2 linked regions of the Ovis aries genome follow. The protein of the gene in region 2 interacts with the protein of the main gene of each other region in a pairwise test. Links are inferred from orthologs where the notes say so. Each region holds a gene or a part of one and is shown on either strand. Other genes may lie near its edges.

The links.
Region 1: the proteins of ZNF446 (region 2) and ZNF496 interact in binary tests that used the Homo sapiens proteins (3 or more experiments, as listed by UniProt). The two-hybrid records come from large-scale screens. The link is inferred for Ovis aries from reciprocal best matches to the Homo sapiens genes ZNF446 and ZNF496.

What each region holds. Positions count from the first base shown.
Region 1 is NC_056058.1:38,331,988-38,335,487, forward strand, and holds part of ZNF496 (zinc finger protein 496), read right to left. Parts: intron 2,857-3,500; coding exon 2,724-2,856; intron 2,211-2,723; coding exon 2,103-2,210; intron 1,028-2,102; coding exon 914-1,027; intron 1-913. UniProt on the Homo sapiens protein: DNA-binding transcription factor that can both act as an activator and a repressor.
Region 2 is NC_056067.1:66,377,356-66,381,294, reverse strand, and holds the end of ZNF446 (zinc finger protein 446), read right to left. Parts: intron 3,538-3,939; coding exon 3,456-3,537; intron 3,335-3,455; coding exon 3,239-3,334; intron 3,085-3,238; coding exon 2,702-3,084; 3' UTR 501-2,701; downstream 1-500. UniProt on the Homo sapiens protein: May be involved in transcriptional regulation.

The DNA.
Region 1 (3,500 bases), on a different chromosome or scaffold from region 2:
CTGCTGTAGATTTACAAAAACAGAAAATTCCTTTAGTCTACACAGGATACGGGGTGAATACAAATGACTGTGAACTCTGCATGATACTAGGTGGAAATACCAGAATATCACGCAAATCTTGCCTCCAAAAGGTATCAAACTGTGCATGAGTCACTGTATTTGCAAAAAACCCTCTGTGACACAGTGGATTTAAGTGAGGACTGGAGACTCAGAGTCTAAATGTTGCCGGGCACACTCTCCAGTGGTCCTCCTTTTAGCGTTCTGCTAACCTGTTCTTTAATTGCAACACTGTCCAGGGACTCTGGTCTTTATGCTCAGAGACGAAATACACAGACCATGTGTCCAAAAGCACTATGTCAGCACCCTGCCTCAACCAACCCTCAAGAGAAAGGCATGGAGGGGAGGGCCTCAGATTGGGAGTCAGCTGGAAAAGATCCTAGAAAAACAAAACTAGGGCGAGCAGCCTCAGGAACTCTCAGGAACTGTCAGCAGAAATTTCAGAAAGTTCAATTCCTGAACCTACATCACCCCCCCCACCACCAACACAGACGTATATACGTATACAGCACACACGCATGCACATATACCACATGCATAATTCCACACACACAACACAGCAGACATTATATAAACATATAGGTACCATACATAACTGCCAGCAGGCATGCTCACATGCGTACAACACATGCCATACACCCTACACATGTACACATCCACACACAATACACCAAACATACGACACACACATACAGCATACACGCCATTACCACATTCATGCACACACACACACAGATGCACATGTACACATCATACCCCCATGCTACATGCACTCACATACTGCACACATACATACTCAAGCCACACATCACACACAGATGCACCCACCCCCACACCCTCCTAAGAATTCCTTTACCTGGGCAGGTGCTTTGAGGGAGCGCTGTCTGCTGGCTTGTCTGGAACTCTGGCACCTGCAGCTCATCCCGCTTTCTTCTTTCTTCTACCTGGAATGGCTGGAGACTTGGAAAGTCTTTCCAGAGAAGAAAATGAAAAATTCATTTTTCCTGCTGCTGCAGCACTACCTGGAAGAGGGTTCTTAAGAGATGCCAGGCTATGATCCAAGAGCAGGCCTGGGCTCTCTCTCAGGGCAGTCACTCAGTAAATTAATGTGTGATGAGCAAATGAATATGCAGGCAAAATGGGCCAACACCATGAACATGGGCTGTGAAGCTAGACAGCATGAACGTGGATCTGGGTTCTGCCCCATCCGCTTGACTGTGGACAAGAACTGCCATCCATGCTGTCCCTTTCACTTTCTATGGTGGGATTTCCAGTACTCACGCAGACACTGCATGAACACAGTCTGGACAGTCTGCTGGGGCAGAGATGGGATGGGAAACTGGGCATACCAGAGGCCCTGGCTGCTTGCTCCAGGTGGGGGTGGCGAGTGGAATCTGCTGGGTGCCAGCTCAAAGTCCCAAGAGAAAGGAGGCCTGGGAGTACTGCTGGCATGGTACAAAGCTTTTCCCCTGAAGAAGCAGGCATCTTACGGCATTAAAGCACAGTGGTTACAAACATAAGCTCTGGTGACATGGAAGGCTGGGGGTGGGGGTAGGCGGGTGGGAAATGCTGCTTTTAAGCTGTGGCATGTCAACCAAACCCCAGCACCTCCCCAAGCCTCAGTTTCCTTATACTTCCTGCAGTATGTGGCTGGAAGAAGACAGGTGAGGCATCCAGAGGCACTGCGCCCAGTGCCCAGCCAAGAGGTGGCATGCCCTCCTCTTCTCCCACCTGACTTTTGGAGAGTATCTGACCTCACTTACAAAGGGGTAATTGCGTTGTTACCACAAGCCAGGTGTTACTTACAGCGGAGGAGAAAGATATTCCTATTATATCCTAGTTCCTGGTTGAAAAAAGGCAATCCCCACACCTGGGAAAATTGAAATACCACATTCTTTCCATAAGGAATGAGGGATGAGGCAGGATTCATTCTACCAAGACATGGTCCAGGGGTGACAGAGGGCTCAGAGAGTGGAAGAAGGAACAGGCCTGCCTCTGGCTGGCAGCAGCCTTTCCTTCCACTGAGTTCTGGTATCATTCCTCACCCAAGTAGGAGACCTGGGACATGTCCTTCCCCTGGAAGTCCTGCAACTCTGGAACACGTGGCTCATTCTCTTCTCCCTGGGAGAGATCCAGCTGGGCAGCCGCATCGTCTATTCACAGAAAAGGGAAGGATATGCATTCATCAGGCCTCTGCTCCCACAGGAAACCAGGGTGGGAGGACAGTGGTGACTCTGAGACAGGTAGAGGAGAGAGAAGTTGGAGGGAAACACAACACACCAAGAACACCAACAGGGGCCATGCAGGGGAAGTGGAAGGACCAGAGCAAGCAGGGAGAGGGCAGGGGAGGGGACACTAAAGGGGAAGTTGTGGGCTTGGGATAACTCTTTCAGTCCTATCAGAAAACCAGCAATGAAAAGAGTCAGAATAAGAATGATAGAAGAAGAGTAAATGCAAGGGATACAAGTTATATTTGGTTGTGTATGTAAAACAGTCAGGTAACAAGCCTAACTTTCATGTGATAGCACCAAGCAATGGTTAATCTGCAGAGTGGCCTTGACACCACTGTGCACAGGTGCCTCCCATTAGGGTATGGGGGTGGACAGTGAGGTGATATGTGGACCCCCAGGTCCCAGGTCTCAGGAGAGAGCTGAGTGAAGTCTTACTTGGAGGCAGTGAGACCCCACAGTCTTCTCCAATGATGAACTCTCCGTAGAAGCCAGTCTGGGCAGGGTCTAGAAGGGACCAGTCCTCTTCTGAGAAGCAGAAGATCATATCCTTGAAAGGAGAAACCCGGTTCTGAAACCACAGAACAAGTACACCTCAATCCAGGCACAAGCTAGGGGAAGGATGTGGGAAGGAAGATGAGTCTGAGGCAGAGCCCCTAGCAACATATACAGCTGGGATAAAGACAAAGCAGAGAGGCTGCTCCAGAGCTCACAGTCTCCCCAATTCTAGCCTGATATCCACCCTTAGATGTATATGGTTTGGCAGAATCCAAACAGTGGATACCTCACAGGGCGGCCAAGGATGTGTAGGACAGGTCTTCCTACACAGTGCTGGAGAGGCTGCATATCTACAACCCCAAGCAGGCAAATGCAGAATGTCCGCAGATGATCAATGTAATGCAGAGATCCCAGTTCTAGAGTTTATTCTGCACATGTGCAGCAGGAGGTCTATATGAGCTCCTCTGCTGCAGCACTGGTGATGACAGTTAAATTTATTCTCAACAGAAGACTGTTTATGTATGCTGCAGAATATCCTATAAGGCATAATCACCAGTATTAGAAAAAAATAAGAGCTTATTTGTCCTGAGTAGGAAGTCCTCCAAGGTGTACTGTTACATGAAAAAAGCATCCTGCAAAGATGGTCTAGGTCCCACCTAGAAGTCTTGATCATTGGCTGCTTCTGCAGAGTGAGCTAGGACTTCCCAGATAAGTATA
Region 2 (3,939 bases):
CCTAGGTTTGGGGAAGGGCGGTGAGCGCGACACACAGGCCGCCTCTAGGGTGGAAAAGTGTAGCGATGGTTCTCCCAGAGACCAGAGAAGGAAAGCAGGCCTGCAGGACCTATGCCTGCCTCCTGACCTCAGAACTGTAATCTGTTTTGTTTCTTAAAACAAGAAGAAAAAGAAAATAACATGAACAGAAATCTGACGCTCGAGAAAACTCGCCACTCCCACTCTGCGGGAGTCTGTTTGAGGAAACACGCAGGTTGCTCCCAGAGGGTCTGCTCAGGTGTGTCCTCATGGCACCGGGAGCCGCGAGGGAGGCGGACAAGGAACCGTCAGGGCCTGGCAGAAACCCGGGAAGTGGAATCTCCACCTAGGCATCATGACACGTCCCATTTTTAGCAGCGCAGGGAGGTGGGCGGGAAGGGCGCGGCTCAGAACAACGCGCAGGGGCCTCTCCCGCTGTAAAACCCCACCCTGTGTGAACACGAGAAAAACAGCGGCATCAGTGACCGTTTTCGTGACCTTCTTTGTCCTCTGGTATATTTCAGACTTTTCTAAGTGAGCAGAAACTACTTTCAAATAAGGAAACTCTCCCAAGAATGCTGCCCATCCACCCCCACCCGCCCCTCACCATCTGTGTGTGACTGGGCCCTGCCCTGGCACCTTCCTCTGTGACCCCAGCACAGACCTCACCTCTGGCTGCCAGCCAGACTGTGTTATAATGAGGAAGAACCTTTGAATTCTGTCACCTGAGTCAGTCACTAGAGGAATGCTGCTTCTAAGCTTAAATTATACATAATAGCCCAACTCTGGGAGCCCTGACTCACAGGTAGTGAGCATTTAAGCTAGAATTCCTTCATTTAGCTCACAGGAGACCTCCTGACCACACCTACCTGTGAATGTCTACAGGGAGGAGGAAATGAACACATCCCCTCTGAACCAGGAAATGTCTCACCTGACTCTATCCCCTTTCAGTGTAAGAGCAGCCTGGATTTTAACACAGACGAGACGGTTCTTTGGGGCACAAGTCTCCTATCGTCTCAGTTTGCTGGCTTTTTGAATACAGGCGCAACTCCTTGCCCTAACCACTCAGGCTCTCAGTTCATCAGCCTGTCATGCAGTGAACGATACAAGCCTGGATGCGGTAACAAGATCCCCGGTGCTCAGTTCCACCTTCAGCCTGGCCGTGCTTCCCCAGGCCTGAGTATGGGCAACAGCTCAAAGGCCCCAGAAGGCTGGGCATGGAGGAGGTGGGTCCCTGGGGTGAAGGCTTCTCCCTCCCGGTTTCAGGCTGCAGTAAGCCCCCCACCCCCATCCAGGTGTCCTCCACCTTGCCCAGTAACGATGGTTACTGCAGCACTCAACACCCTCCTGCAACCCCTGCATGTGCCCGAGTCTGCAGGGGGCTCAATCCTTGGGCGCATCTGTTTCCCTGAAATCACCTCCCACAAAATGCTTGTTTTAGAGCAGAATGGAGCCCCGAAGTGCACCGAGTTAACAGCCCCCAAGACGTCCACGTCCTAACACCTGGAGCTGTGAATGTCACCTCACACGCAAAGGGCTTGTGCAGATGAGAGCAGCAGGGTGGGTGGATGGGGAAGCTGTGTGGTCCTGAGACGAGGATCACCACGGTTACTGGGGACTCTGGACGCAGCCCCGAGGGCCTGACAAGTAGGCAGTGTGGGACCGCACCATCCACGGCGAGCATTGCCGATGGAGCGAAGGGTCACAAACCCAGGGGCGCAGTGGCCTCCACAAGCCAGAAAAGCTCTTGCAGTGGGTTCCCCCTTAGAGACTTCGGGAGGAGCCAGTCCTGCTGACACCGTGACTGGGCCCAGGGAGACGCAATCCAGAGTCCCAAGAGGGTACACGTGTTGTCTCCAGCCATCGCAGCAGTAGCAAAGCACCACAGGACGCTGGCCAAGACCTGAACGACTGCCCACGACCCAAACAGGCCGCCGGGGGTGACCCACTGTGCAGGCTGTGGGGACACAGCCCTGAGCCGCCGGCCTACAGGCCTAAGTGACATCTGTTCTCAGAGCCCATCCTTGTCCAGAAATCCTTGGAGAGACGTTCCCTTCACGTCCACTCAGGCAGGGACAACAAAGCCAGCAGTGGGGTGTGCGGCCAAGGAGCAGGTGGGCTGGACGCTGGTCCCGCTCGGGGGTCAGGTGCTCGGCAGCTCTAGGGGCTGGGCGGGAGGGCAGGTGCTCTGATCCAACCAGCAGAGACTAGACACCAGGATTCTTCTGCAGAAATGTCTCCAGTTTAAAACTAGAATCTGTTAAAACTCTAAAACGCACAGTGGCTAAACGTCAGCTTTGCAGCTGGCTGCAGACAGAAGCGGGCCATGCTCTCCTGGGCTTCCTGGCCCGTCCACACTCAGACCTCGGGCCCAGCTTCTGCAGGAGGAGTGGGAGAGGCCTGGTCACCAAGCCAAGTGGTCCCAGAGGTCGGGGGAGCCTGCACTAGGTCACCGGTGGGAGCTTGCAAGTCCCCTGGCGGCACTGGGCTGGCGGAGGCCTGGAGCCCAAGCCTCTCAGAAAGCTGCGGTGGGGGAGGCAGGAGACGGGGAGCATTGGCTCCGGGGGGAGACTGAGGGGGGCCGGGGGATCCCCTGGGACTCTGACCTGCTCCAGGGTCCTGGGCGGCCTCCAGGTCTCCAGGCCGTACCGGCGCAGGGATGGGGAGGCCACCCTTCCTGCACTCAAGGGGCCTCGGGCCGGTGGCTCTTGCGGTGGATGACCAGCTGGGACTTCCAGTCGAAGCTGTGGCCGCAGTCGGCGCAGAGGTGGCGCCGCTGGCTGGCGTGGCCCTTGCGATGGATAACCAGCTGCGACTTCCAGCTGAAGCTGTGGCCGCACTCCTCACAGGCGTAGCCGCGTGGGCCCGGGAGCGCGCGCGGGGGCGGGCCGGCCGGCGGCTTCTCTGCGCACGGGCCGCCGGCATGCGCGCGGCGGTGGATGACGAACACCGACTTCCAGTCGAAGGCCCCGCCACACTGAGTGCACGTGTAGGGCTTGCTCCTCGGCGGCGGCGGCGGCGGCGGCGGGGCCTCGGGGCCGCCGGGCCGGCCCTCGCTCTCATCTCCTGGGGAGCAGAGGAGGCCAGGTCACCTGGGGACCCAGCACTGTCCAGCCGGGGCCGCCTGGGCGCCCCGCCCGCCCCCATCCTCCACCCCCGCCCCTGCCCTACCCGCACCTGCACGCCTACCCCCACCAAGGGACCTTGAGAGGTCACTCACCTGGGCGGAGGCTTCTCCGACCCTCGGATCCGGATCCGGAGCTCAGCCCCTCCGGCTGCAACTCGGTGCGCGACTCAGGCAGGGGGTGCGTCAACCCTGCTTGAGGTAGGGGGCCCATCAGGTGAGGGGTTCGCACGAATAAGGGGACGGGGGGCCCTTGGGAAGCGCTGGGAGGCAAGGTGCGCCCAAGGGCCCAGAGAAGGAGAGGGGGCCTCACCCAGGGACACCACCGTGCCGTACTTCTCCAGCATCGCATCCCAGTTCAGCTCCTTCTGGGACGGCTCCAGGAGCCCCCACTCCTGCAGGGACACAACCCATCACCCACAGAACTGTCGACCCCGCACCCACCAGGCCGATCCTGGCCAGAGCCTTGCTGGTCCCCTGAGGGGTGGCAGGTTACCTAAGCCTCACCTGCTTCACCACTGAGTGCCGCAGATGCAGGCCCAGGAAGGGAGCTGCCTCTTGGCTCACCAGTCACCCTCAGCTGCCCCACCCCAGGTTCTGGCCGCACAGAAGGAAGCTGAGGACCCCTGGATGGCCCTGGGACTGCGTGTGCTGCATGGAGCAAAAGGCCAGGGAATGGTGGGGACCCCAACCACCTCTCCCCTGCCTCTGGTTTCAAGGGTAACAGAGATCCTCAGGGAAAGTGCCCAGGGCCTCAGCAAACTTGCAGGGAGGCTGGAGAGCCAGAGGGCAGGCAC